Linked DNA regions of Lonchura striata. The protein of the gene in region 3 purifies or fractionates together with the protein of the main gene of each other region. This does not show direct contact. Links are inferred from orthologs where the notes say so. Each region holds a gene or a part of one and is shown on either strand. Other genes may lie near its edges. The genes, in order: FHL2, OBI1, CNOT1 and CAPZB.

What was found.
Region 1: the proteins of CNOT1 (region 3) and FHL2 purify together in Homo sapiens (affinity purification with mass spectrometry; 3 studies listed by BioGRID and IntAct, with this or other methods). This does not show direct contact. The link is inferred for Lonchura striata from reciprocal best matches to the Homo sapiens genes CNOT1 and FHL2.
Region 2: the proteins of CNOT1 (region 3) and OBI1 purify together in Homo sapiens (affinity purification with mass spectrometry; 3 studies listed by BioGRID and IntAct, with this or other methods). This does not show direct contact. The link is inferred for Lonchura striata from reciprocal best matches to the Homo sapiens genes CNOT1 and OBI1.
Region 4: the proteins of CNOT1 (region 3) and CAPZB purify together in Homo sapiens (affinity purification with mass spectrometry; 5 studies listed by BioGRID and IntAct, with this or other methods). This does not show direct contact. The link is inferred for Lonchura striata from reciprocal best matches to the Homo sapiens genes CNOT1 and CAPZB.

Annotation. Positions count from the first base shown.
Region 1 is NC_134604.1:89,246,675-89,254,417, forward strand, and holds the start of FHL2 (four and a half LIM domains protein 2), read right to left. Parts: upstream 3,021-7,743; 5' UTR 2,937-3,020; intron 1-2,936. UniProt on the Homo sapiens protein: May function as a molecular transmitter linking various signaling pathways to transcriptional regulation. Negatively regulates the transcriptional repressor E4F1 and may function in cell growth.
Region 2 is NC_134604.1:48,208,414-48,215,353, reverse strand, and holds the start of OBI1 (ORC ubiquitin ligase 1), read right to left. Parts: upstream 3,017-6,940; 5' UTR 2,964-3,016; coding exon 2,892-2,963; intron 1-2,891. UniProt on the Homo sapiens protein: E3 ubiquitin ligase essential for DNA replication origin activation during S phase.
Region 3 is NC_134615.1:16,321,904-16,329,628, reverse strand, and holds the start of CNOT1 (CCR4-NOT transcription complex subunit 1), read right to left. Parts: upstream 3,021-7,725; 5' UTR 2,891-3,020; intron 1-2,890. Other genes in the region: SLC38A7 (sodium-coupled neutral amino acid transporter 7), read right to left, coding at 5,966-6,068, 6,162-6,216, 6,495-6,694, 6,777-6,924, 7,149-7,263, 7,609-7,666.
Region 4 is NC_134626.1:7,422,634-7,429,934, reverse strand, and holds the start of CAPZB (F-actin-capping protein subunit beta), read left to right. Parts: upstream 1-4,297; 5' UTR 4,298-4,411; coding exon 4,412-4,414; intron 4,415-7,301. UniProt on the Homo sapiens protein: F-actin-capping proteins bind in a Ca(2+)-independent manner to the fast growing ends of actin filaments (barbed end) thereby blocking the exchange of subunits at these ends.

The DNA.
Region 1 (7,743 bases), on a different chromosome or scaffold from region 3:
AACTGCCCATATGGCCCAGGCCATCTATGTTTTAAACAGCCAACCTTTAAGTTATATTCTCCAATCAGCAAACAACCTTAGCACAATTTCAGTGGCAACCTAAGAGATGAGACATTGACTGATGCCACAAGCAGATAAACTTCTGCAGACATGAGTGCCTACCAGTCTGACCCCTTGCACCAAGGTTTTTAAAGAGGTCAGATAAGGATCTGGCCATAAAAATAGTTCTGCAGGCAGAGAGACAGAGCAGTAGAGGATAAGGTGATGGGAAGCATTTTAAACTCTCTAATTCATCCAAATTGCTCTATGTTAAACCAACTCTGCTTGCAAATAGCTGAAGGCAAAAATCTTACCTGTGACTTTATACGCTCTGTTCAGTACAGTTTGTGCCAGGCACAAGGACAAGGTTTGCCAAAGCCTTTCATGAGGGTCTGTCATAAAGGCATTGAATTTTGTAGCAAAAAATACACACTTCCCTCCTCACTTAGCACCATCTTCTATTGAAAATGAACATCACAGAGATATAAGAATAACGCCACATCAAGCCACTACTTGCTGTATCAACTTGGTTTTTCCAGAAGTGATGCCTCAGGCAAGTTTCAAAATTTAAATTTCTGCTATTCTTCACATTTTCCCAAAGCTATCTTTTTTTTCCTAAGCTGTTATAACTCCCTGAGAAATTCAGGTTCTGTGTGATTTCCTCCAGCTTGCCTCCTTCTGACCATGGGACTCACTGAACACCACAGATTCACAGAAAAACAAAGCTGGATCTTCTGCCCCTGGGCAAGATCAGCTGCAGACATACAATTTCTGACACATGTCCTGACAAAATGTTATCTTGTTCTTATTCAACAGCCTTTCTGAACTGTGTCAGCCTTTTCTGCTCATACCTGACTCAGATCTTTAGCTCAATCCATAAAAAAAACTTCATGAGTCCTGCAGTTAATGGAGGCCTCCAGAAGTTGGGCCAGAGGCAGCTCAAGTAGGGGTATGGACAGATGCCTGGACAGGTTAGGTTAGACAGCATTAACACCCTGCTATGTGCATTTCCACAGTGTGCCAGACTGATTTGGAATAAAACCCTTTCAAGGTTTTCCTCTCAACCCCTGTGCTGTGATAAAGGCCAAAGGAGTGAAGAACATCTGGCCAGCTGTGTTGTAGGTACTTAGAGAGAACAACCAGTGGTGGCACCATAGGTGGAGACATGCAGAGATAAGAAAGATTTTTTTTTTTCCATGGAAGCTGGTAGCCATTATCAAAATTCCTCTTCTTGGTACCAGTTATTTTGAAAGTTTAGCATACACACACCACAAGACAATGGGAGTGGTCTAGGACTCATCCTCAATCACCTTACATCTTCACTTCCCTGCTGCTGGCTGCCCATCCCACATTGATTGATTATTGCTGTTATGATTATTGCTATTATTATAAAAACTGCTATTAATGGTAATAAATACAGCACCTAGTTTAAATTGGATTCTATCAGTATTTGTCTTTTTAGTGGAGCAAAGTTCCTACTGAAACTTCTTACTGCCTACAAAATATTATTCTGAACCCTTTCTTCCATCATGCTCACAACACAAACATTCCAAATACTTTAGTTCACCAGTCACTCCTTGGACCTATCAGACATGTCTTTTGTGAAGAGCTCCTCTTTTTTAACAATAGATTGTTGTTTCAAGCAATACTTGGTGAGTCTCCGAGTTTTGCCAGTGGGTCCTGGTATCTTTGGAAAAAAAGGGACATTTATGAGCAATGCTGGTGGGTGGAGGGGTGTACATCAGGCATGTGAAAAGCATACCTTGTGGTTTTAGTGCTGCATGAATTGTAATCACTGGAGGTAGTGAGGTGCATTCCAGTCACTGTGACAAAGATAAAAGGCAAAGATTTGCCTTCCTAATTATTTATGGAAGCCTGGTGTTCAACTATGCAATGCTGTCATGGGTAGATTTCCTTTCAGCAATGCACTGCAACATTAGCTGTCCCTCAAAACATCCGCTCAGTCATTTTTGCATAGATGAATGGTGACATGACAGGAGAGCTATTTGTTGTACAGGTGTGACTGGAGTGTAGGGCACTGGGGAGGGGCTCCCTGTGCTCCCCAGGTACCTCCTGTTATACCTCAGAGACTCTATGAAGCAGGAACATGTATAGCTGCCCAAAAATTAATGTTTCAGCCATCCTGGGTGAAACTCCAGATGGATACAAGTCTTCTCCCTCCTCTCTTCCTTTTGGCTTTTCTCTCTTCCCTCTCTCTTCACTCCAGATTATACTCTGGTCAGTTTTAACATGCCATCTGCCAGGCATCTTTTAGTTAACTATTATCAGATGGCTTAGATAAATACTGCCTTATCCTGGTCTTGGCTGCTCATTCTTACCCATGAACTACTTCTCCTGCTAGGCAGAGATAATTTTTTTTCAAAAATGTGTCTGTTTTTTTGGCTGAGTGAATCACCTCGCCCAAAGCACCACTCAGCTTACTCAAAAGTGTAGGGACATTCTCACTTTTTAAACATCCTCACTATTTTAGACAGTGAGCACTGCTAAAGAAAACAGGACAAAACCTCCCAGATATTAACTATAAAGACTACTTCAGAAAGTGTTGCTCCAAGTCAGCCTTCAAGTGGAAATCATCCCTGGTGGAGCTGGATTCAGAGAGGGAAAAGGGCAAGAGAGCCTGTGATCTGCACATAATTTATACAGTTTTCCCCTTTTGCCACTGAGTGGTTTTCACCCAGCTGTGGCAGCACAGCACTAAAGGAACTACAACTCTGCCTGCTAAAACAAAGCTAATCCATGCACATGCTGGCCTGAGCTGACATGGGCTTGCAGCAGAAGGTTTTAAAGGAGATCTGCTTAAAGCCTGCTAGCAGCTGGAAGGTCATTTGCATGTCAGAGAACACTCTCGATGGAAACAAGCAAGCATAAACACCTACCCTTTACAAGCCTGCTTCCATGCTCAAAGAAACCTGATGCTCAGCCATGTGGAGAAATCATTTCTTTCCTCTCCACAGCATAAAGTTCACTGAAATGGAAAACAGCTCTTACAGCTGAGTACTCCAACTGAAATTATTAAGTATTTTTAATAGCTAGCAAAATGATGCATTTGCTTTATCTGTAACCATATAAATACTCTGTACTAAATACACTAAACCATTTATTGCAAAATTAGTTTGGCTTATAAACATACTATATTAATTTTAATGAAAATGTTTTGGTCTGAAAAAAATATTTAAATATTATTTCCTATCACTTTAGTGGCTTTGTAGAAAGGTGAATGTGATCCTCTATGTTTAAATGGTTTAAAGCACCCAGCTTAAACTGCATTACACAAGAACTTCTGTGTTGCCATTAATAGCCCACGCTTAATTTGAAGTACAGAGGAAAAATAATAATCAAAACCTGAATTTCCAACCATTCTCTAGTTTAAATAAATCTCAATCTCACTTATATTAAAAAATGTGATTTATTTGTTAAGTTAGCAGAATCTTAAAAAAGAGACACTAAAAGCAGAATTTATAAAGCATACTGCTTACCTGAGCTGCCTCGAGGAGCCTCTCTACAACACACGCTTGCACAGGCTCTCCTTTAAAACTGAGTTAATAGGGATTTAATGGGAAAACAGTGCCATACACTTACTTACCAGACTGGCAGCCACAGCTCTCTGCAAGGATGCCCTCCTTCTGCATCCTCATCACTGCTGTCCCTGCTGTCCCTGCAGAAAGTGGTGGCCTCTTTCCCCACATAAGGCTCACCCAGCACCAAAGTTGTACCGAGTGAATGGGAGGAAATGTTTTCTGTTTGCAGGTCAAGGAGGCCACTGTATTTTTAGCACTTGGATCCTTGCCCATCCCACTGCCCCTCTGGGATCAGCTCCCTACCTTGCTTTTTGAGCCCATGATCCAACAGTCCTAGGAAGAGACAAAAGCCTGTTCTCAGCACTGAGAACTCATGGCATGTTTCAGCCAATGGGCATTCACACATGTTTAAATTGTTTTCTGGCCCAGGGTCTTAGACACGTGCTAAGACTTTAGGAATTGATTCCAGGGAAATCAGTTTCATAATTTGGAAGCCACTGCCCAGCAAAACTCAAACACTTGTTGTCCTTTAGCTGTTGACACTAAGCCTGAGGACCCTCAAGTAAAAGTATAGGGTGGTCTGAAAGATGAATCTGGGAGGATGAATCTGAGTTATTCACATTTGGTCACAGCTCTTTTCCTTTCAGACCATAGGCAGGTGGCTCTCCACAGTGAAGTAATGCTCCGAGCAGGAGCTCTAACACCCCCCCCCCCCACCTTTGGGTGTGATTTAACAACCCTCAGGCCTCTGCTGGAGGTTTTAGTGTTTTACTGGAGATTTTTGTCACCCTTCAGTACATTTTATTCTGAAACAAATGAAATCACCTCTATCTATATGCTTCAATGATTTTAAAATATGATTTTATGTTATCTGAATGGTCGGTTAATACAGTGCAAGACTTCATATCCTGGAAAAAAGTCTGCATTCTTCACCAGTCATCAGCCCTGCAATAACTAACTCCCCAGAGCTGTTGAGACCATATTATAGCCACACATCCAGGTGAGGTCTGGCTCTTGCAGCAGGAGGCATCTGCATCTCTCTCTTCTGTAACCCTGTTAAGGCATGGCAGTGTGCCAGCAGGGCCATCCCTGCCAGGTCTGCTGATGGCCAAGTCTGCCCTCACAATTCCTTCTCCTGTATGACAAATAACCCTCTGTTTGCAGTTCTCCTCTACTGCAAACAGATAATTCTTGTTCCATCATATTACGTCTTCTATCAAGGAGAGCAGAAAACCTAAACTTGTGTGAGTTGAGCATGGGTTGCAATGGCCACAACTGTGATGGAGGAGTGCCTGCTTCAGAAGCAGGAGCCAAGCATATCTATCCTAAAAATAAACAACTTTGGGGCCCAGGATTTCAGACATTCATATGTATCACAGAAATGCCTGTTACAGCTCTTCAGCACTTTAGAACTGAAGTTAATAGCTACAGGCACATGGTGGGGAACCAGAGTGTAGATCTGAGATGTATAGAAGGTCACATATGACATTTGTAAATGATGATAGAGAAACTTCACCCACAAAGACAAATGAAAGAACCAGCAGGAGTTACCTGTGTCCCATATCTAACCTGTCAGGCTACATCTGTCTTATTTTGGGCCCACAGATACTGCCTCTTAAGGTGGTAGCTGTAACCTGGGTTATGACAGTAAGCCTGTAACCTAGGATTATGACAGTAATCTGTCATACTCTAGCTGCTTCAGTTTCCCTGCTTTCTGTCCCCAGAATGCAGCCCTGAGCACTCCCAGTGACCACCACATTCCTGAGGAATCAGTCATTTTCCACAATATCAGGCAAATAAAAAGGGATGGTTAAATTGTCACTGATAAAAAAGCAGCAAAGGTGTGATTGTCATTTGTCAACTCAGCCTCATGTGGAGATAAGCCTGAAGGTTAGTTGTACTGCCAGTGCTAATTTCTCCCGGGGTATGCTCCAGATGAAGCTGTACTCTACATCACAATCTCCCTTGCCAATGTGTGAAAAGATGTCTGGGTTAAGCCAGCCCAGGTATTCAGGCTCAGGTAAGCCTCACACCTTCCCCTTGCATGAAGATGTACTACTAGAGAGTGTGCTTGAAAGCTTGTCTGTCTTACAAGCTTAGACTTCTGTCACAGAATGAAAGAATCATCAAGGCTGGAAGGGATCTCCAAGATCAGCTAGTCCAACCATCAACCTAACATCACTATAATCACCCCTAAACCATAGTGCCAAGTGCCTCACCTCCTGTATGGTGTATCTTGATTTCAAAAAGAAAGGAAAACTTTGAGAAACTTTTCCTGAAGCAATTAATTTGCCTTTTTCCAGTCTCCTAAAGCCATTCCTATGCTCACTGACATATTAATGTCCCTTCACAAAGTGGCATTCGTAGGTGGCAAATCTAGCTGGTCTTTTCAATGTATGGTGCGTGTTTCCATGGATAACTCTCCCCATGGCTACACCACTGTCAACAAAACCTACTCCATCTCTCCAAAACTCTCCTCCTGCATGACCCCCCAGATGCCCACCTCTGCTACCACAACACAGGACAGAGCTGGCTCAGATGGGTGAGTACAGCCCTGCCTGGGTCTGTACTGAAGCCACTGAGCCACCTCAAAATACTCTTTAAAAAATCATAATATAACCCAGCTTGTTCTCCTGCTTGGTTCAGCATGTGCTCCCCCCCAAAAAAATGTAGCAGCACAAGTGAGAATGTGGCATTGGAAACTACTAGTGAAAGTGGGAGAGGATCTTCTAGCTGGAGTCACCATAGAAAGAAAATCTGTGGTATCACAGAAAGCTTTCTCCATGGTCAGAAGGTTTCAGGCTGAGTCTCTGTGTTTCCAACCATTTACTTCCAAGACAAAAACTAGTACAGGAGTTAACAGAGGTGGCCAGAGGGCATGGTACATATCTGTGGGTTTTTCCACAAAAAGATCTCGTCTAACACCACAGAGAGCTCACAACTTAGAATATAGAGCAGCATTATTTGGTGTGGGAAGGTGGAGAAACCACTCAAATAAACAGGACAGCTCAACAGAAGCCTTCTGCTACATTTGGGGTGTAAAATGGTCTTTACTTGGCATTTTTTTCTCTTGATAAGAGGGCATGAAATCTGCCTGAGAAATTCAAGTAACAAGAAGAATTCTGTCTAATGATTAAGGGAAATAAAGTACTGGGACCAGTTTGTGCATGGGGACTAGTACTATTTTGAGCACAGTTTGGGAGAGTGCTTGTTCAGTGCCATGGTTTAGGAATGGTTCTCTCCAAATCAGTACCCCCACCAAGACTCTCTCAAACAACTGCTCTCTCTTGGTCCCACTTCCCCTCCTGCTTCCCCGTGTGGTGGGATGGAATGAAGAACTGGAGGCACAAAAGTTGAAGACAACAGCTTGAGGGAAGAAAAATTTACTGAAAACAGCAATGAGATAAGAAAATAAACAGCAATAGTATTAATAACAAAATTATAGAGAGACAATTCACATGCAAAAATGCTCACCTTGGAGACTGTGACAATAAAGAATACCAAAGAAAACAATACAGTCTTTCCTCTTCCCTCATCATTTTAACAGAGGCATATAACAGGAGACATTTTTTAAACAAATGTAAACACAGGGTTATTACAGAGTGTTATGATCTGATTATTGAGTGATGCCTCTACCTCTGTAAATGAACATCAGTTATAACTTTCCAATTTCCATGTTAGCTAATTAATGAATTCCAATACTCTTTATTTATTCCTTTGATATCTCATGCTTTCACACATCAACAATGGAGAGGACCGCATTAAGCTGCGAAGCAGCTTTGTGTGTCTCAGGACTTCTGCCATTCCCTTTCACATCCTGACAAGCTCAGTTTAGGAAAGTGTACCATTTTGGGCCTAGACTATTATTCTACTTGCCATCATGGTCTCTGAACAGCTGGCTATCACTTATTCTTGTGGTTGAGTCCTTCGAAGCCCTACAAAGGGTCAAAAAGTCAAGACCTCTGGTCGCTAAACATGAAACAAAAGATGAGTCCGGAACAGTGAAGATTCTTCCAAAGTGCCTGCAGTCCCATTCAGAAAAGCAGGAGAGTAAAGTGGTCCCTTTTCACCATGTTCATCCTGGAGATAGGCTCTGCTGTGCTATAGCCGGCTATCTTACAGCAGCCCCCTCAGCAGGAGAGCAGGGACCTTGGTCCCTGAAATT
Region 2 (6,940 bases), on a different chromosome or scaffold from region 3:
TGAGAATAGCTGCATGGATGGTGATGATAAGATACAGAGCAGAGCAACATAAAATAATCCAAACAGGAAAAGACGTTTCATGAGTGCAGGTTTTCCCCCTGGGGAGCAAGAGACCCTCAGTTACCCCAAACCTGACACAGAATCACACATGAATGATTACTCTATATCTTTAGCAAAATAATAAGTCACATGTATTACTCTCCAGGGTACAGTGCTTCTGATTTACACACCTTTACAAGTTTCATTTCAGGGCTGGGGTTTTATACTTCAGTTCACTCAGGATCCACACAAAGCAAGGCACACCAGAACAGCAAGAGCCACTATTGAAATGTCACACAATGGCTGGTGCTGCCACTGCCCCTCCCACCAACTGTGACAAGCCTAGGGGGTAGGAGATCAGGACATACCTACTACTAAAAAAGCATTTTACTTGAATTACAGCACAGTTCCAGTGCATTCATTGACCATAATATCCAGAAAGACAACCGTTTATTTCAGAAGGCTTAATCAGCTTGGTAATTTTGAGCTATTTCCTAATTTTTCACCTCCAACATAATGCCATCCCTATGCAGATCAACATCCAATCCTGTACACATTGACTTCACTTTGAAGGCACTTCTGGGCCTTCAGGCAGCACTAACGGAGGAGCAGGCACATGAAAAATCAGACACACCCAGTCAGTGAACCAATCCCAGATATCCTACACTGTTTCAACCAACACAGAACAGCGTCTTGAGCCCAAGCAACCTGTCGACACCAAAACCAACAAGAGAGACCTCCAAACATTCTGGGACAAGAAAAACAGTCTGAAGCAGATGGCTTCTGATCTGCTACCTAATTAAAAAATGCAGCTGTGTTAGAAGATGGCCCAGACTGTACCAAAAGAATATTCAGGTAACAAACATGAAATTGATACAAGCAATTCACTATTACTTTAAATGGTTATTTGCACATCTTGCCAATATACTTTCTGACATTGTTCATGTTAACAAAATGGACTAACGTGTCCCTGCTACCCAAGACTTCAGCTCCATCAAGAACAATGAGTGGCCAACTCATTAAAAGAATTTTTCTTCAACATTTCCTTTTTTATCCTCTTACCATAATGCACAGAGAATAGTTTGTATCTTGCAGTCAAACCTTTGCAAATTTTGCAGGGATAGAAAGAGAAACACTCTGAGTTTAGGGTAGGCCTTCTACTTGATTTGAAGTCTATGCCATAAACCACAGAAGTATCAGTATTATGTCAACCCTCCATGATACTCCCTGCTCTCCCCTAAAAGGTAATAAAAACTGACAAGATTTTTTCCTTAACACAGGCTAAACAAATTCCTTTCTCCAACCTTAATAATCCTGAGAAAATGGGTTTTTCTGGTGAACTTTTTCAATGAAGTTCCAAACTAGAGACAAAGATGTCTGTTAAAAAGAAAGGGCAGTCAGAGTTGTCAGCTTTGTCAAAATTTAAACAGATTTACACATCTAAAAGTGAGAGCATTTAAATATCTTTATTACATTAATCACCAATAGATTCACAATTCATTTATATATGTTAATGTATTGTCTCAGTGCAAGAGAGCAAGGAAGAGGGTGGAAGCCTCTTCCAGTACAAACTCAGGAACATCTAAAAAGGAAGTGAAAGTATGAAATAGTGGCTTGGAATAACTCAGTGGCTTTACAGCAAGATATGAATGAACACCTAACCAAACTGTTAAGTGCTTAGATCAGAAATTAACTAGGAACAAATAGCAAATATCTTTGTCAGTTTAATTTCACTCTCCTCTTTTCACTCCACTTTTTGCAGAGTGGAAGGTATCCATGCTGCATTACATACAGAGTACACTTGGGTTCTACTCCATTTTCATTAGACAGATAAACAGAAAAAAGAAAACTAACATGACAACAGCCAGGAAATCTTGCTCAGCTTCCACAAACAAACAAACAAACAAACAAACAAAAACAAAAACAAAAAAAAAAAAAACCCAAGAAATGAGTAAACGTGGTTGCTTAAAGTAACACGCTGTCAGAATTTTGAGACTTAAGGGACCACTTTCTGATCACTTTCACTACTAATGCTACACGCCTACTTCACACACCAAATGCTCCCGCTCTTTTATTATCACTCCAACAGAGAAGGTCTGGGAGCGAAGGCCAGGTGAGGTAGAAACAAACCAGACAATACGTGCCAGAGTACAAACACAAAAGGCTACTTCTTCACTTGTAATTATGTTGTGCTTTAAGAAAAGAAAACGAGAGAAAAAAAAAAAACTAGTAAGGAATGCGCAAAGAATTTGAGAAGCAATTAGTGACAGCCATGAAATTGGCTCTGGGGCTTTTAGAGAAGAACAGACTAGTAAGAGCCCTCTTCTTCCCGAGGGAAAAGAAAAAGGGACTGAGAAAAGGTCGGAGAGGAAACGGGAACTTTTTGTCCAGACTGCTGCAGTTTTGCTGAACAGTTTAGAAATCTGCTTGCTTATACGCCCCCTCTTTGTTTCACTTGTCCTCCACGACACAGCACTACACTCAAACACAGGCTCCCCGAGCGTTTACAATGGAGCACCCTACTGGTAACGGGAGAAAGCCCCCAGACGCCAGCACCTGCCCCTCGGGAGCTGCACACGGCATACCTGGGGCCCTCCAGGCCCATCCTACACCTCCCGGCACGATCCCGCCGGGACAACGCGCGCTTCCCAACCTCCCGAGGCTGCCGGCAAGCCCCGGCCCCCGCCGGGAACGGCGCACACCCCAATTCCCTTCCCCGCACGGAGCCGCGCAGCCTTAAAAGACACAACCCCGGCCACAAGGGTCAGAGCGCCCCAGAGCTGCCGCCGCCGGCCCGACCTCCCTGCCCCCCGCAGCCAGCCCCGGCCCGCGGGGCCGGGCAGCGGCGTTACCTTGCCCAGGCAGATGTGGCAGGTGATGGGCAGCGTGAGGGACAGCGTGACGCTGGGGCCGTGCTGCGCCATGCGGGCCCGAGCGGCGCGGCCCGGCCGGGCGGCACGGAACTCCGCGGGCGGCCCCGGCCCCGGCCGCGCTACGGCAGCCGGCGAGGCCAAGCCGCCGCCCGGCGCAGCGAGCGCCGCGCGCTGTGCCGGCGCTGCCCTGCAGGCGGGCGGGAGCCGCGGCCCCTCGCGGCCCCTCGCGGCCCCTCGCGGCCCCTCGCGGCCCCCCGCGGCCCCTCGCGGCCCGGGAGCCCGGGCAGGTCTCAGCCTGCGCACGGCATTCCTGGGGGAAGCACGGCGCCATGGGGAGCGCAGGCACAGTGCCTGTGCAGGAGGGCGACGCGGTAGCAAGGATGGTCTTCTTTCCCCTGGTAAACCTTTGCTGTGCTCAGGTTTCATCATGTTGAATAAAGATAAACGGCTGTTTTAATTCTGTTAACTGTCCTGAATCACAGAATCGTAGAATTACAGAATAGAATTACAGGATCATAGAATGGCTCGGGATAGAAGGGCCCTTAAAGACCATCTTGGTGCATCCCCCGCGCCATGAGCAGGGACACCTTCCACCAGACCGGGTTGGTCAGAGCTCCATCCGGGCTGGCCTTGAACGCTCCCGGGAATGCGGCATCCGCAACTCTGGGCAACCTGTTCCAGTGCCTCACCGCTCAATCTCTAATATAAACCTACTCTCTTTCAATTTTTCAATCCGTTCCGCCTTTTCCTGTCACTGTGTACCCTTGTAAATAGTCTTGGCTCATCTTTCCTGTAGATTCTCTTCAGTTACTGGAGGGCCCCAATTAGGCCACCCTGAATCCTTTTCTAGCCTGAACAATCACAATTCTCTTAGCCTTAGGAGAGGTGCTCCATCCCTCTGACCGACATGGTGGCCTCCTCTGGTCTCACTCCCACAAGTCTTTGTCCTTCCTGGGATACGGGAACATGTTCTTGTGTTCTAGGGGAAACTCCCAGGGCATGAGCCCCCCTTCCCCATTACCGCCAGTCCATCTGCAGTCTCACGCCTCACATCACTGCTGGGTTCCCACACTGCACAGGCAGCTTTGCTTCTTGGCCCCACTGCATTGCCAGTCAGCTCAGGTGGGATTTGCACAGCCCGCAGCTTTGGGAGCAACAAAAAAAATGAGGACTGGGATAAATCCTCATGCCCTGCAAGGTGCTGCATGTGATGATACCATGTGGAAGACTCTGATCCATGGAAACCAAGGGGCCAAATCTAAGGATGAAAATTTTGCATCTGCCATCCAGCTTGTGCCAACAACTCTCCAAATCATGGAGCTTTTCTGTTGCACTTTCTGGGCTGCTGGAAAAAAGCGGGGAAGCACTGCTGGGGGGATATAAGGCTCCTAGGAATCTGCTTGCTTGACCTCAGTCCCAGGATTCCTGTAGTTTCTTGTAAATGTGCCACAGCATGCTGAAAATTACAGACTTGAGTGATTCAACATTGCACCACAAGATAAATGCTTATAATGCTGAGCAGCTGATTCAAACAAGCAAAAGTTGTGGATGCAATGATTAACAAGGAAAGTATCTTAGACTGACACAGCAGAGTTGCACGGATGCATTTCAATTTGGTATAGGTAAGTCACTGCAAATAAAGCGAGAGAACTAATCCATGGTGACATTCCAGCATAGACAAGACCTAGCGGATTTGGTGTTAATGCAATGCTTGAGTAGGAGAGGGCGGGTTTGAATAAGGTGTGCTTGATAAAAATTGAGTGCTTACATGTTACAACACTTTTTAGTAAACTTCAGGAAAAAGTACTGTCAAATAAGAAAAGAATAATTTACCAACATAATGCACATATCATTAATTAAGATAGACTGGAGTGAGTGGACATGCACTTCGAGGAGATTCTTTTAGTCTTGGTACCACTGACATGCTGCTTAGGTAGAATGGTGGTAAGAGAAATTTTTTCAAGGGAAATGTAAAATTTTTGAGATGTTTGAGCTTAAAAGAGAGCCATTGGAGCCTGAAATTCATTCAGTGAGTTTATTGTGCAGCCAGCAAACTACACAGGAATGCAATGAATCTCTCTTATTTATCTTTTTTAGCTTTATTTTTATATTGACTTTTATTGAAAAAATGTGAATAGACAATATCGAGAGTAGAAAGGGTAAATGCATGAAAGAGAAATCAAAAGCAGGGAAATGCATCTTACATTTGACATGTGAAACTCCTTTAAATGAATCTGGGATGAAGCAGGAACCCTTTCAAAGGCATGACTTCCACTGCTTCAAAAAAGTGTATGTAACTGGAAAGTGACCTGTTAGAGGAAAAGCTCTGTTGGGATGAATATATTTTCTCTCAAACAAAAATAACTTGTAAAGGAGTTTATTTTCCTGAATAAGCTGCTAAAAGGAACATGTTTTCTCTTAAGGAGGTTAAACGTATTTGTTTAGTGGATTTCTGCTGAAGTTGTATGCATAGACTGTGAAGGAGTACTTAAAAAATTATTTGTGATCTAGTAGCGCCTCAGGTTTTGTTGAAATTTATGGGTTGATGTTACCAACTTTTCAGGGGTATGGAAAATACTTAGTTCTGTAGTACTGAAAGTGAGACCTCAGGGAGCAAGGAGAAGGGAGCTGGAGGGGTAACAATCTGCTGCAGCTGAGGGGAGCTGAGAAATACCATGTAAATGCAGGAGGTAACAAATGTTTAACAGGTCCAAGGGATTGAACACCACAGTCCATGTAGCATGAAGGATACTTTTCAAAGGGCTGGAGCCAGGATGAAAGAGAAAACAATTCCTGAAATGCCTGGCATACCTCTGCTGCTACTGGGGCAAAAGGATCAAAGAGTCAGGCAGTTTTCCAGCCATATGGCCAGTGCTGGTAAACCTATAGAAAAAAGATGGGTTAAAAGCCGAGACTCTAACTGTGAATGATCTTCTAGTATTAGGGCTTCATTTGTGAAATGCTTCAGCAACTTCACTACCTGCTCCTGAAATCTCAGAAACCTGAGAGGAATTATAGTGGAAATATGAAAATAGCATCTGTCACAAATTGTGGAAAGTTCTTTGGTGAGAGCTTCAAAAGAACAAATATAGGACAAGAAAAAATGATCAGACAACTAAGACATTTCTTTTCTGCTTGAGTTTAGTTCATAAAGATTAATAAAGTTAACATATTTTTGGCTTAAAGTACATCAATTCCTGTATTTTGGATCTGTGCATGTTTCCCAACAGTGTGCAGAGAGAGGAAGGAGCAGGTGTAGGTATGAAATGTCTGTCTTCTTGGCTGATTAGCCCAGTGATAATTAATACAGTTGCATTGCTTCCAGTGATTTGAATATATATATATTTAGATGTGGGGCTTTATGCCATGAAAACCTAACCTAAAGGTCAGTTTTTTTACCAACACAAGTAGATATAAACCACTGATAGCCAAACTCTTCACCCTCAGTGTCCACTTCTGCAACAATGAAGTCTGTTCAAATTGGCTTTGAAGAGCTTTCTCTTCAGAACCAGACTGGATGAATCTTCAGCTTTTATAAAAGGGTTTCCCAGGTGGTTTTGCATGATTTAGGGGAATATAGGATGAAATTTGCCTCAAACTGAGTAAAGAAGCATTGGGTTCTAGGTGCCTAATTCAAACCTGTGGTTATTAAAGGGTGAAAACAGCTTCCCCTTCCTCAGGATTTTACTGTTGAGGAGCCCTGCAGAGCGGTGGCCTTACTGGCTCCTGTTGTGAGACACCATCTCAGGGACTCACTGGCTGCCATTCAGAGGCCATTCAGTAGAAATATGTAGCTCTCAGATACCCCTGTCTATGCTGCCTGAGGACTGTAGGCTGCTCTTGCCATCTGCTCTCTGGGAGTTCCCATGTGGCTTTAATTTTAAAATGTAAGCAAATTTCATCTCTCTCTTTAAAACAGTGCTTTGGGGTTTGGCTGCAGAAAAAATTTGGTGTTTCTGGAAGGGAAATAAAATGAATGTTAGAGGCCAGAATATCAATCTCTGGCCATTAGGTAAGAGAACTGGGAC
Region 3 (7,725 bases):
CAAAATTAGCTATTTTCAGTCACACATCCTATAATACAGTAATGGTTTAAGATACCCAGCACAGGACTCAGGAGCTCTTACAATATTACTATTTTATACTGGGAAACACAATCCATTTTAAAGAGATAAAAAATATTTACCAAATTCTACAGCATTACACACCCTCAACTCTTCCTAAGGAAAATGACAGCCCATCAGCAAAAGACATTTGTCATCTATTTCAGTAGATCTTTTTTCAAGAGCAGAGTTCTGCTGGATTAAAATATGAAAATATGCAATAAAATTTCAGGCAAACATCCAAAGATCATAAAATAGAGTGGGCCAATATGAAACCACCCATCAGGTGTGACCAAAGACACTCCCTACTAACCAGAAATCACTAGAGAGCAAGTAAGCCTTGATGCTGAAGTCGACAAACCTGAAGTCTTCCACAAATTCAGAAACACTCCTACAAAGGAAGTAATTTCAAAATTTCAATTACTTTAAGCTAACTTTGGATCTTTTTTTCAGAATTTTGCAGAAGTCAGTAACTATTGCCGCTGGATTTCAAGAGTTGTATGATTTCAGGGCACATGTGCTGCATGTGGAGGATAAAACAGATCAAGTGACACAAACAGCACTGTGTTTGCTGATTAGGTTCTAAACTCCTGTCACAAAACATCACATAAAACATGCTAAAGGGACCACTGCTAAACCTGCTCTCCAGAACAGTCTCTTACCCTCTTTTTAAACCCATGAACAAATACAAAACATGGAAGAGCAGTACACCTACATGAAGGCCAACACTGGGAGCAATCCAAGGGAAAAAGGTGGTTTTGAATCATACTATACTTTATATTTCAGGATGTCTACCACTTTGAAAACTACTGAGGAAAAAACCCCAGAGTGAAAGTCACATTAGCAGTAAAATAAGCTCCTGATTCAATTGACCAGTTCAAATTCAGGTGTATACAATCTGAAAAGACATCTGAACATTCCATACACTGGAAAGCTGCACCCAATTTCAGTAAACTGGAAGTCAAAAGATGATCAGACACAGTAACTTTAGTTTTCAGACTGTGGCTGAACTAAGCACCTAAGTTTTGCCTATACAGTCAGGCCAGTGAAGCTGCAGTTTGAAATCTACACCAAATACATGAGATATGCATCAAACATGACATGGCTACTGTAGATACTTTCTGATGTGAGATACTTTCACATCTCTACCTAAGACTGTTAAAAAAAACCCCAAAAAACAAGAAACTCTCACTTCCCAGTTCTCCTTCAGACAAGACCTGCAGAATTAAGTTTCTGCTGGAGGCACAAAAAGGAGGGACTTGTTATCAGATGCTTCATGGTTTTTTACCATCCAAAATGTGTTTTAGAATAGCTAAATTCTATTTTTAAAGTCAAAGAAAACTGCAGTGTTCATACTTTGGGGATGTTTATGGAACAAAAGGGAAATCTGGCTAAAATAGTGATGGCCTGAACTATGATTCTCAGTGATAACAATTCCTAACATGATTTAGTTATGTCCCATCACAGGGACACAAAACTTTACTGTCCTCTATCGCTAAGTTATGTTCCCATAGTTTCTCTTCCACTTACTCAGCTAAGCACCAAGAGTGGCCATTTCAGCATAAATCTAAAATCTAGGAACCCTATATAGGATAAAAAGGATAAGGTATTTCTCCAAAGAAGAGACGTAGGTAGGCAATAAACTGGCTGTGAGTTTGGTTTGGAGACACCAGGCCAACAGCAGTTAAGAGTGAACATATAAGCAAAAAGGCTGAAAGAATCAAAATAAAAATCGTAGAAAGGACAGCTCAGTCTACTACCAACTAAGGTTGTTTCCTGTTTACAAGAGAGTTATCCCACCTGGACTCACCCTGCCCATGATTTTAGCCAATGCCAAAGTAGTTACCTTAGAAACAGGAATCAGTTGGGTACACTAAGAGTGACTTGTCAGAGTCACACTTGTCTTGTTACCTGCTTAAAAAAAGCTCCTGAGAATAGTTGCCATGCTTCCTTACAAGTGGGATTCAGAAACAATTTGAGTACACGATATACCAACAGACTAGTGTTGTATCTGCAGTACTACCTCACTTCTGTTGTAAATACAGTCCAAACTGATTGTGGTTTGTTGAAATTAAACTGTGAATAGTTCCTATATAAGGAATAAACGGTACTAATCCAAGTTAGGAAACTATTGTAAAGAAGCTCTTGCAGTGATACAGAATCTGTCGAGACACCCAACTGTTGCTATTTCTAGTTTAGAATTAGACAAGTCTATTTTACTGGACAGTGTTTTCTTCACTGAAGGACAGCACTGAGAAGGACTTCTCTTCTGTGGTCTGCAAGAAGGTTACGTGGCCGGATTATTTACTAGAGCTCACTTTTCCCATATTTTCTGCGGGCAAGTCACAACACCGATCTCCTACTGAGGCCGCCGAGGCCGGCCGGGGCAGGCCCGGCCCGGAGTCCTCAAAGCTCCACCTGTCACCAGCGGCGTTACACAAGCCAAGGGGGAGAAATGAGCACAGCTCCGGAGCTGGCGGTCTCCCCGCCACCTCGCGACACCGCCGCCGCCTCCTGCCCCCGCCACCGAGCCGGGAACACCCGCGGCTCCCGCCCCGCACCCCGCGGAGTTCCCTCTGTCGCGCAGGGGCGGCCGCGGCACCGAGGAGTGCGGGGGGGAGGGCCGCGGGTCCCGCCGCTGCCTCTCGCACACCCCGCAGGGCGGCCCGGCCGGGCGGGTGCCTCAGCGGACTCCGCTGCGCCCGGCGCAAGCCGGCCCGGTCCCTCTGCCTCCGGCCCCGTCCCCACCGCGACCCCCCCCCCGCCCCGAAGCTCGCAGTGCCCCCACAGCTAGCCAGAGCAGCCCCCGGGGCCGGGCGGGCGCCGCTCCCACCTCGGCGGTGTCGTGAGGGCCGGGCCGGGGCCGCTCGCGCGCTTCTCTCGCGCCGCCGCCGTTCCGATACAAAATGGCGGATGGGGTCGCGCGCTCGCGCCGCGGCCTTTCCCCTCCCCCGTCCTCTCGCGGGGGGGGCCGCGGGGGGAGCGGAGGGGCGGAATGCGCGCGGAGCTGCCGCGCCCCCGCGGAGACGACTTCGCCCAATCAGAGCGCGGGGCCGCGCGAGAGCCGGCCAATCAGCGCCGCGCGACCTCGGGGGAGGGCATCCTGCCGCCCTCCGCGCGGAGCCTGAGCCGCGCGCCATTGGCCGCGAGGGGCCGAAATCCTTCCTACTCTTTCAGCCAATCAGAGCTCCGAAGCCCTCTCGGCCTGCGCGTGCGCGCCGACGGCCAACCCGCGCTGCCGAGGCCGGCCAATGAGCGAGGGGCGTCGCGCGAGGGCGGGGCGGGAAGGGGAAGTGGCGGGCGGTGCCAAAGGGCGCGCGGAGTCATGGCGGGGGGGTACCCCTCCCCGAGTGGTGCGGCCCGCCCCGTTCCCCCCGCACCTCGTTGTTTCCTCCCCCCAGTGGTGGTATAACCCCAGGAACGGTTCCCCCCCATTCAGCGCTGTGGTACAGGCCCATGAACTGGCGTCCCCTCCCGCTGCCTTGGTGCGGCCCGGGCGCTGCCCCCCCACACCGTGGTGGCTGTGGCTCCCTCAGAGCGCTCCAGCCGCGGGTTTTCCTTTCTAAGGAAATCCTCTCTCCATTTGCACCCTCCCGGATGGCCGGCCTGAGTTCCCGAAGAGGAAACTCCCTCCAGTTCCTTCCCGCCCGTCTCAGCCACACCACACCCGCCTGCTGGCCCCGGGGAGCGACACTGAGGTGCCGCTCCAGGACCGGGGCCCACAGAGCCTTCCCTGGCATCCCCCGGCTCTGGGCGCGGAGATACCCCGGAGGATGAGCGTCTGAGGAAGGCAGCGGGACTTCCCAGCTCCACACCATCCATCCCTAAGCTAGGAGGGCTGGGATGGCATTTCAGGATATGGCTTCATCCCTGTATCCCAGCCGGGAGTATCTCCCACAGAAACCACCTGATGCTGGCCTGACACGCATCACAATGTCACTTTTATTTAGTTACCTCCACTTTCTGCATGTACAAAATACATGTTAAAAGGCCAGTGTTTGTAAACAGGGGAGCAGTAAGGCAAACAGGAACACCCACAGCACCTCCAGACCTGCCCAGCCCTCAGCCATGGGAGCAGCAAGGGAGCCCAGGTGTTTCCCAGGTGACATGAAACATCGTGTCCTCCTCCACTTCGGCCAAGGCACCTCATGCCTAGCACACATTCAAGCAAACCAGAGCCACAGGACCCACCAGGTACCAAACCTTTTCATCTTCCTGCAGGGTGGGCACTGGGAGGCATCTTGGCATTGGCATCTGCTGAGCATCTCTGCTGGGCTCCATGGGAGGTGGCTCTTTGCTCCCCACGTCCAGGACAACTGGCCATCTTCTTTATGCCAAAAGGTCCCCAAGCCCCAGCTCCTGCTCACAGACAGGAGCCTGGCAAAGGGGCTTGGGACACAGCCGGTGCCATACAAGTGGGGGTTTGGTGGAGCCTGGTTTTGTCAAAAGATGAGGGCACAGATGCTGGAGACCCCTTGGGAGAGGAAGGAGGGATCTGTGCCTTCACAGCATCTTTCAAACATTCCTGCTGTGCTTTGGGCTTTTCTTCCTCCTTCTCTATCTGGGTCTTCCTGTCCTAATCAGCAATTGAGAGGTCCCCATTTACACGTAGTGTTAGTAAGGAAAGACCAAACATTCCCACACAGGGAAGCACCCATGGGCTGTTGCCCCTCCTGCAGCCACTGGCTGCAGTGGGAGAGAGCCACGTTGAGAAGTGTAGGAGCACAAGCCATGCTTCTCCTTCCCACCACAACAGCCTGTGCTGCTTCCAGAAGATGCATGAGGTGCAGGGCCAGGTTTTGCACAAATCTGGCCTGAACCCTTGTCGCAGATGCATCAACAGCTACAGCTGAACTCCTCCTCCCCAAGGGTTTTAGAAGCCAAACAACATAAAAAGAAAATCAAAGAGAAACAAGAGAACAATGCTATTGAGGTTTAACGCTCCCAACCAAATCTGCAGCTGGGGGAACTGCTCAACCCAGAAAAAGCAGGAATGAAACTATCATCCAGACAGGCAACAGAGGGACAGCCCAGAGCAACACCAGCCACACAGAGTGTAAATGAAAAAGAGAACAATATAAAACAAATTAATACTGACTGCTTTATCCCAAAAGCATCTCTTAAAACCTGGCCCAGTCCCATTTCCTGGACACCTGGAAGAACGGGATTGTAAATCTGGAGAAGAGCATTGCTCTATTGTAGTGTCTTCAGTAGGTTGATGCAGCCATAGCAGCTTCTCTACTGAGTGAGCAACCCCTGGCAAGGAAAACAATGCACTGGCATGTCCCTACCTTAGGGGCATTCTGATCCTCAAACGAAAAAACCTGAACAGGCTGAAGGCAACCCTTTGTAAAAAAGTGCAGCCCAGGCAGAGGGAGATGTGACCGTAGGGGCAGGAGACCGGCAGGAAACCAGAACTCAAACCAAACATTGACACAAAATAGGACTATGGGGTGTCTCCCTGTCTGATAAACATGATTACTATTTCCCTTTATGCAGAACACTGCTTCTCTCTGCAAAGTTGGGAGAAGGACTTTTAGCTGTGGAGAGGAGCTCCACCAGAACAAGGGTACATACATGAGAGCAGCATGGCTTTGCAAACCCCAGCCACGACCCCTTAGTGATGTCTAAGGGAGTGATGTCTACTCCCAGGGGCAGAAGGATGACAGGTCCCCTTGTAGTGTTGCTCTGGTTTCACCAGGGAGCCAGGGCTGAGAGAAGCCTGACTGCCTGCAGCCTTAAGACAATGAGATACAAACCACCACAGGGCTTCTTCAGCCAAGCCCCAAGTCACAACGGTTCTTTTGGATCTTCCCAACACACCAACATGTTTTCTTCCCACTTCCCTTTGGTCCTAGGGGAAATGTCCATCCCCTCAGCAGCAGCAGTGCAGTCCAGCCTGGAGGAGTCAGGCTGTAAGATCCGCGAAGATGGCATTGGCAGTAGTCTGTCCAAAGATGAAGGCTCCAAGGGTGACCATGAACACCCCATAGCTGACCTGGGCCCACCAGCTGTGGATGCAGGAGGACAGGGAGTATTTAGAGGGGTCCTTCACCCCAATATCCTGAGGGGAATGGGGGAGAGGGGAGGCACATTTCAGTTACCTGATTGCCCTGGTTTCTTGGATCTCAGAGAGCTTGGCTTGAATCAGGCAGAGCCCTGAAAGGTAGGGAAGGCACATTAGAACCAGATGAGAACTATCCACTGAGAACTATCCACTGGGGATTGAACAGACATCCTATAAAAGAGGAAGCTGCACTCCCTGTTACAGAGCTCCATGTCCAGTCAAAATAGTTGGGCTGCTGACTGGCCCCACACCACATTTTTGTCCTCCTCTAAAAATCTCCTGGTTCCTGTGTTTCCATCCTGTCCCTCCCTCTTTGAGACACAAGGCCATGAGAGCTTTGTCAGCCCCTAAGCATCACAGGATGCCCTACCTGGGAAGACAAAGATGAAGCAGGCGGCCAAGCCCCCAATGACAGAGATGACTTTGCCAATATCAGGGATGAAAAGAGCCAGAAGGAGTGTCAGGAGGAACCAGCTGATGGTCTGAAGCAGGCGCCTCCTCCGCTCCCGAACCACGTCCTCCTCCACTGTTACCCCGGTATAGCGGAGCCAGAGACCCTCCAGGACAGCCCTGTGGGCACAGACCCAGGACAGAGGGGTTTCCTTGTGCTGCTCCTCCTTCCCACATCAGCCCCATCTCTCCCAGCGCTCACCGGCCACAGAAGTGCAGGATGGGGTAGGACGTCAGCACACAGAGGATGATGAAAGCCCGGGCGAGGGCAACAGGGATGTCATTGGAGGGGTAGGACATCAAGACGTCCTGCTCCACGCCAGCTCCAAAGGTTAGGAAGCCACAGATGCCTGTCAGGAAAGGAGCAGTCAGCAGGGGAGAAGGACAAGTCTCCTGAACATCTGTTTGAAGGACCAGACTTAGATGGATATAGCACAGAGCACATTGCAGAGGTGTCCGATGGACTCTCCTCCCTTCTCCCTCTGACCCTTGCTGACCAGAGGGTCCCTGCCCTCCTGAAGCTCACAGCCACTCCAAGGACTGTGCCACACTCACACGGTGTCCCCTCACTTACCAGTGCCTGTGTAGACGAAGAGAGCAATCACCATGGCTGCTGTCACCACTGCCCCCCAGGTCTTCACCTCCGGCTGCTTCATGCTGTTAAAGACGGGCACGCTGCTCACGTGGCACTGCCAGGACACAGAGACAGTGGGGATACATGATGGCCAGACCACAGGGCATCCTACTCGTGATATTCAGCATGTGTTGTGATATTGTGATACTCCAGGTTTGTCACTGGAGAAGAAAAGCTGGAGGTACAGGATGCCCTGTACGTTCTAGCTGGGGTAAAATGGATCCTTCTCCATTCAGAGGTGGTGAGATGTTAAAAAGGTTTCAGTTTCCTTGTAAAACTGTGCATTGAGCACATGGGCAGGGTTTTAGCCAATCAACCAGCGAATTACACAGGCAGGGTTTTAGTCTGTCACCCAAGCAACCATAGGATGGAAGGGGGAGTGCCAAGCTCATGGCCTTACCTGGAACCCAAAGCAGATGGTGGGCATGGCATTGAAGACAGCTGTCCAGCTGGAGGGGCTGGCAGGAGAGAAACCTCCGTCAGTCAGACCAGAATCCTCTGTGACCCCCATCCAGTG
Region 4 (7,301 bases), on a different chromosome or scaffold from region 3:
CAGGCTTCAAATGAAGTGCAACGTGTCAAGGAAAAAGTAAGGGAATGGAAAATTTTGTTTCTTTCTGCTGTATTTAATCAGCTTCTCCTTGATTCTTTTTTAATGAAAAACCACAGACGTTATTGCTAGTTAATGACCAAGTTTGACAAGAATGCCCTCAATACTTTCTTTGCTCAGGCTAAAGACTCTGTCTCTCCAGTTTTCTGAGCTGAAAATACAAAGTTAAAGGAGCAGCTGCAAGAAGAGGAATGAACAGTGTCCTAGGATGTGCAGCTAAGTGGGATGTGCTGGAACACGAGGGCTCCCAGCAGTCCTGCAGTGAATGGACACCTTGGGCTGCTGCTGGGTTTATCCTTTCCATTAACCAAAGGAGCAGATCTGCTCGGGTGCTGATGGAGTGGAAAAAAGTCTGGTCCAACATTCTTAGTGCAGGGAGGGGAATGCCTCAAACCTCACACTAAATGGGCGATATGTTGTTTTTCATTAAACGTGGTATTTGGAATTACTCATCAGTTCATGCAGGAAATGGGGAAACTCTAAAAATTTTTAAATTCCAAGAATACACTCAGCAAAGCTGCTTTGGATTCAGGATGGGGACTTTTTATTGTTTGTGTACTATTTTGACACTGTGTACCAAGATCTCCATAGTGAGAACTATCTGTGGTTTGAACATAGAATTCCAAGACATTGGGTAGTGTTGTAGGTACCTTTTTCCTATATTAGTTTCCAAGAAACACTCGGTTTTCAGCCTCAGACCAAGTGATGCTGCTGTTTTACTGACTCTGACTAATAAAACCCAGCAAGCTAAACTTTACCATTGCTGGAAGACTCTTGCAGCAATAAATTCAATTTATGAGAACTCCCAATAAAAGTTTACATATCTTTCAAGTGCCATGAAAGAAAATGGGCAATCTGACAAAAAAAAAAAAAAAAAAAAAAAAATCAAGATGTTTCTTTCTTTATGACAAAAAATGACTATTCAGTGAAGCATGAAGGTTTTCTCTCAGACATTGTTCCTCAGCATGTTCTCACAGTCACCCTTGGTCCTGGATAAATGCTGGAATAAACAAATAAATAGCGTTTCACCACGCATGCAGGAGGATAAAATAAAAACCACATCGTGCTGGATCACAAATGCTTCAGGAAGTTCTGGCTGAATGTGAAAAGTACTTTGTAATGCTAATAAGTGTTTATCCTTTTGCTTCCTCGAATGTAATCAAATGTACAGGGAAAGCACATGGATTTTAGAGCTGCTGATTGCAGGATCAAAAGACTCGTTATTAATTGCACATGAATCTGATGTTGTTGGGCCCTTAAGATGTCAACTGACATCATTGTTTGCTTCCTTTGTTTATAGATGCTTGTTTTAGAGAGGGGTTATTCCTGCCACGAGCCCTTTGGAGTGTTCTTTCCTGTAGGTGGGTGATCCATTCCTGCAGGTTTGGGAAATGCCTGAGGCACAGGGAACCTACCTCACAGCACTTGGATTATGGAATATCCCTGATTTTGCTGCATTTGGTGTCAACCCCTCCACAAATCCCAACACAAGTGGGATGGTGGTGACATTCATGGACTTTCTGCCTGCTGGGATCCACTCTCCACACCAAACTGCAGCAGTCTGGTCCTACATCTTAATAAACAAACAGCAAAAAATCCCTGAAACATGGCCTGCTATAAACAACCAAAGCAAACAGCTGGTCCTCATTTGAAAAAAGATGTGACATCAATTTCAAAATGAATCTGCAGATCTTCTTAATGCAAATATTTTTGGGAAAACAAAAAGCAGCTGTTTATTCTTCTTTATACCTATTTGCAGGAGAACAAAATCCAGGATGCTTGTATTTCTTCCGCTAAGAAAAACATCCTCTTGGCCTCAACATTCATTTAGAGCTCAAATTGTTTGAAATATACTGGGCTGCCTAATTCTGCTATTGCTGTGCTGCTCCAGCAAGCAGCTAGGAGCTGTTTCTGTTCAAAACTAAAAGCTGCTACAAGTAGAATTGTCATTGAGTACTTTGCATGAATTTTGTGACAGAAAGAGGGAATTTTAGAACAGACATTTTCAAATTTATCAGTTCTGGCCTCCCAGCCCTGAGGAGCATTAGATGTGTGGATCCCTGGACAAAAATGGAATCATTTGGCCATTGTAATGAACAGGTTTGCTTTTCTTAATTACTGCTGGGAGGCAGCTGGGAGGAAATGCAAGGACTGGAGGAGGATCTGGGAACTGCAAAATAGGAGCCATTTGGGATTGCTCCATCTGACAAAGCGGATTGAAGGAGGTTAGGCTGAGGAATAGTGGCAAAGAACTGAATTTGGAGTCTCTTGAGCCTTCTGAGGTCATGTGGCTTCTCTCCCAAATGTGGAAGGGTAATTTCCCACCTTTGGGTTTGTTTGGTACTGTCTCTTGATGGAGTTTTATGTGGTTTTGTGTTTCTGTGGACGAATACAGTTCCTGTTTCTCCTGACATCGTTCTACTGTTTTCTCTCCACCCTTCCGGGTTCATTTTGTTTCTGCCACCGCTGAGAGCTGTTCTGTCTGCACGGGCTCCATTGTGGTGCAAATTCATGTAGTGCAGTCTTGTCTCTGGCTATTGTAACCCGATCCACGTCCAAGCTGTTCACTGCCCTGGAAATTGGGGTTGTCTGTGACATCCACAGGACAAGCCCTGTGTGACTGCAGAGTCTGTGACATCCACAGGACAAGCCCTGTGTGACTGTTGTGTCTGTGACATCCACGGGACAAGCCCTGTGTGACTGTTGTGTCTGTGACATCCACAGGACAAGCCCTGTGTGACTGCTGTGTCTGTGACATCCACAGGACAAGCCCTGTGTGACTGCTCTGTGACATCCAAGGGAAAGCCTTGTGTGACTGCTGTGTCTGTGACATCCACAGGAAAAGCCCTGTGTGACTGCTGTCTGTGACATCCACGGGACAAGCCCTGTGTGACAGCTCTGTGACATCCAAGGGAAAACCCTGTGTGACTGCTCTGTCTGTGACATCCACAGGACAAGCCCTGTGTGACTGCAGAGTCTGTGACATCCACAGGACAAGCCCTGTGTGACAGCTCTGTGACATCCACGGGACAAGCCCTGTGTGACAGCTCTGTGACATCCAAGGGAAAGCCTTGTGTGACTGCTGTCTGTGACATCCACAGGAAAAGCCCTGCGTGACTGCAGAGTCTGTGACATCCATGGTACAAGCCCTGTGTGACTGTTGTGTCTGTGACATCCAAGGAAAAAGCCCTTTTTTCACCCCATGTTGGCATTTCCAGCTCCTACAGCAAACCCAGGGAAAGGCTTTTGGCTCCCCAGGGCCAAGTCTGCAGTACAGAGTCCCAATGGAGGTTTTTTGGGGTCTTGGTAATAAAACTGGGGTGAAACAAGGCCTGACCTATTCCATAAAAAGCTGCAGAGGAAGCTGTTGGTGCTAACGAATCCTTACATTTTCCTGGGATCATTGTCTGCTGTAGCTCTGAGATTCCCGTATTGAGGACAGGCCAGGAGTCTGGAATTGGGATGTCTTACCTGAAATCCCTGCAATGGGAATTACTCCAGTAAAAGGAACAAATGCTTTATTTTGAGACAGTCTGAGTATAACAGGAATGCTTTATTAGTAGATATACCCTGATTTTCTGTGATCCCGTTATCCCTGGCACAAGTGCCTGAGCCCTGAAGGCCTCCAGTGTGTCAGCATCTGCACGGCTTCCAGCAGGTACCTCCCAACACCAACACTTCCTTTTCAAAATAATTCACGATTACTTTTAAAATAATAAATAATTAATAATTATCCCTGGCCTTAAGCAGCTGGAGGCTGCTTCTTCTTCCACATCACTTTAGACCTGGTACCTTACAGGCATGCATAAAGTGCAGTTTACCTTTGCAAAACCCAGCTTTACGAGTTTGCTACTCGTTACCTCTTCTGGGCGGCGTCTGCCGTGCTACCCGCCTGCCTCGTGCTGCCTTTCGTTTAAAGCTAAAACAAGTGCGTTTAAAGGCGCTCGAGGGAGCGACGTTCCCGCGCGGAGGCTCCGGGACCGACTGAGGGCCGGCCCCGCGCTGCGGGCGCGCCCCCCGCAGGCCCCGCCCCGGGCCGGCCCCCGCGCTCTGATTGGCCGCCGCGCTCACCCCCGCGCCGCAGTTGGTGCCGCCGTGCGCGCCGTCCCCCCCGCGCCGGTGGCGTGGTTCGCTCCGCCCCGCCCCCCCGCCCCGCCGCCGCGCATCCATACTTGGCGATGGCCGGCGAGCCGCGCGCTGATTGGCGGGGAGCGGCGCGGGGCGGGGCCGGCGGCGCTGACCCGGATGTTCACTGCCGGGCGGCGGCGGAAGCGGACGGGCCGCGGCGTCGAAGCGACAGGGACGGACCGGGAGGCGCCGCCGTTCTACCGCCCCGCGCACCCGCCCAGCCGACATGGTGAGAGCGGGCCGGCCCCGCGCCCCCGCCGCGGCCCCCGCCCTTCCGCACGGCCCCCCCGCAGCAGCCCCCGCGCCCACACCGCCCCCTCGCACCGGGGGGCCTCGCCCGGCCTCCCCCGGGCGGCGGGGACGGAGGGAGGGGCGGCCCAGGCGGTGCTGCCGGGACGCGGGGAGGGCTGGCCCGGCCTGAGGGCGCTGCTGCGGGGGGGCTAAGGCTAGCGGAGGCTCTGCCCGGCGCACCGCAGGGCCCGGGGGCGGGGGGCTCCCCGGGGCTCCGCTGCCCGGTCACTGCCAGCTCTCCGGTGCCGGTCCCGGGCGGTGCTCGCAGAGGGAATGATGTGGAATTACCCAGGGAACGGTTCCGCTTCGGCGGGGAGCGGTACCGGGGGCGCTGCCCGGCGGGCCCGGCGGCCGTGGCTCCCCGCAGGAAGGCCGGCTGTTCCCCCCGTGCGGTACCGGGAGCGCTGCGGGGCACCGAGAGCCGGGCACTGCCCGAGCAGCGGCTGCTGCAGCCCTGGTGCTGCTCCGCACGCCCGGGAACTTGCCTTTCCCACGGACCAGCCCCACTTGCCTCAGCCGTGTGGAATAATCTCCGTCCCGCTGTGTTTCCCGAACGGATTGGCCCGGGGCACAAACCCTTTCGGTGCCACTTTGGTGCTGTGCAAAGGGAGCCGCTCCAGCTGCGGGCCCAGGCCCTGCTCCGCTCCCTGCCTGCTGGCCGGGGCTCTTCCCGAGCCTCCTCAGCCATGGAGTCACTTGTAGGGAATCACATCACTTTGTGCTGTTGGGGATTTCTGATTCAGGCTTTCCAACATGACAATTCAACAATGTTTGAATGTGTTTAGTTCATAAAAGATCAACCCAGAGCCTGGCTCTACAGCAGTGTGAAGTCTGTTTAACCACACGAGTGTAATCCTTTACTTCTTGCCGTCATCCATAGGAATTTCAGAGGCGATGCCTTATGTTTTTTCTCTGGAGCTGGAGCCACCTGTATCATGCAGGATAAAGATCTTTAATGTGAGGTGAAAGGTGAAGAACAGTTATGACCAAAGTTCTGTTCCTTATTGGTTCAAACAAGAGCAGGTGCCATACCTGAGTCCTGGCAGGATGGAGCATCTTATTCCAGCTGTGTACCTAATTGTAACACACTGAAATCTGTGTGTGCAAGACCTGACTGTAGAGTCTCAAACTGGGATTCCAACAAACTGTCCTAACTTATGCCACTGCAAAAATTGTCACAGGAAAAGAGTTCAAAGAAAACAAGGAGGCTTCATGGAAAGTAACAACAGTGGTACCAACTTCTTTGAATGGGATATAAAACGTGCTGTTAGGAAAATCCAGTCAGGGTTTAAATGTAACTGTGTCAGTAGTTTGGAGGAGGTACAGCACAAATCCTTTGGAAATTTCCTGACTGTTACCGGGTTTTGCTGCTTTCTGTTTTTTTTCATGTTTAGTTGTGCAAACCACTGGGCATAGGAGAAATTGGATCAGAACTTCCAACACTATGTGCTGGTTTCCAATGTTGAGTGGACTTCAGGGATGAACCTGCAGCCTCCAGTTTCAACTCATGTGCAAACCCAGCGTGTAGGGTGCTTGCAGGATCTTTACTTTTAATGGTCTGAGACCAGAAGTGGAGCGTTGAAAGGGTGGAATGGCCCTTTCATTGAAGGGAGCAGTTGGTATGGTGCAGGATATTGGGTGAGACACCTTCATGGTACCACAGGGCTACCAATGTCTGTGTAGAGCAGAGCTGGGAACCTTGGTCTCCTCGGAGAGCTCGGAGCTGTGCCCACATTTCAGTCAGGTGCTCAGGGAAACAGGGCAGGGCAACACATGAAGCTTGAAAACTGCCTGGATGGATGGTGTCTCCTGTGCTAAAAATAAATGGAATGCTCTGTTCAGGGCAAAGCAGGACTTGGGAGAGTGGATCTGCTGAGATTTCTGGAATTGTGGGTTGTGAATGGATGGAATCCAGTTACTCTTTGTAAAAATAAAACCCTTCATTTCCAGGTTATGTAAACTGGCCTGATCGTGTTAGCAAGGATTTCTTCTGCTATGCAACTCTTGAGAAAAAGGAGGACAATTTTAACAAAATTTATGATTTAATCATCCATAAATTCAGGCTGTCTAGTGTAGTGCTGGCTGTGCATCATCCATCTAGGATTTGTGAGGCAGATATGGAGCAGTGAAGCACAGCCCAAGGTGTGTGATGTGACAGTGACACCAACACGCACCTCGTGTGCTGCTCAGGGTCCACTAAGATTTTCAGGATAGGAGTTGTTTGTCTGGAATCAGAACCCATCTCTAACCTGGCTGTATCCCTCTTGGACCTCCAAAATGTGCTGTGGAGGTGTGGGGACGTTTTCAGTACCCACAGCAAGTCCTTTGCACCTTGTTCCTTTTGAGAAACACCAACTTCAGCTGTTTTGTAGAGTCTGTGTTTTATTAGGCAAGCCAAGTGTGTGAGCTTAACTAAATGTTATCTTAAACGGCAAATTCCCAAAATAATCAAATCAGAGGATATCACTGGGAGAGGGAATACTGCCATTGCAGTGATGCTTAATCTTGTGGTTTATTAGGGAGGCAAAAACATTCACAAGCTGAAGTTGTTCAAACAGGATTTCCTCATATGGTAAATATATATGCTGATATGAGACTAATTCACATCTGGGAGTGAAACAGAATGAAAGTGCAGCTCAGCTCTTCTGGGGGCCTATTTTTAGTCCTTATTACTGGAGTTGAGTTGAGAAATTACTTTCTTTGGGAAAGAGACCATGCTGCCCTTCTCAATGTCTACTTGCACAGCTGTCAGCTTTGCTTTCCATCCATCCCTTGACTTCCCTGGGTGAAGGATGGCTGGGGAACTCGGTTTGCTCATCATCATC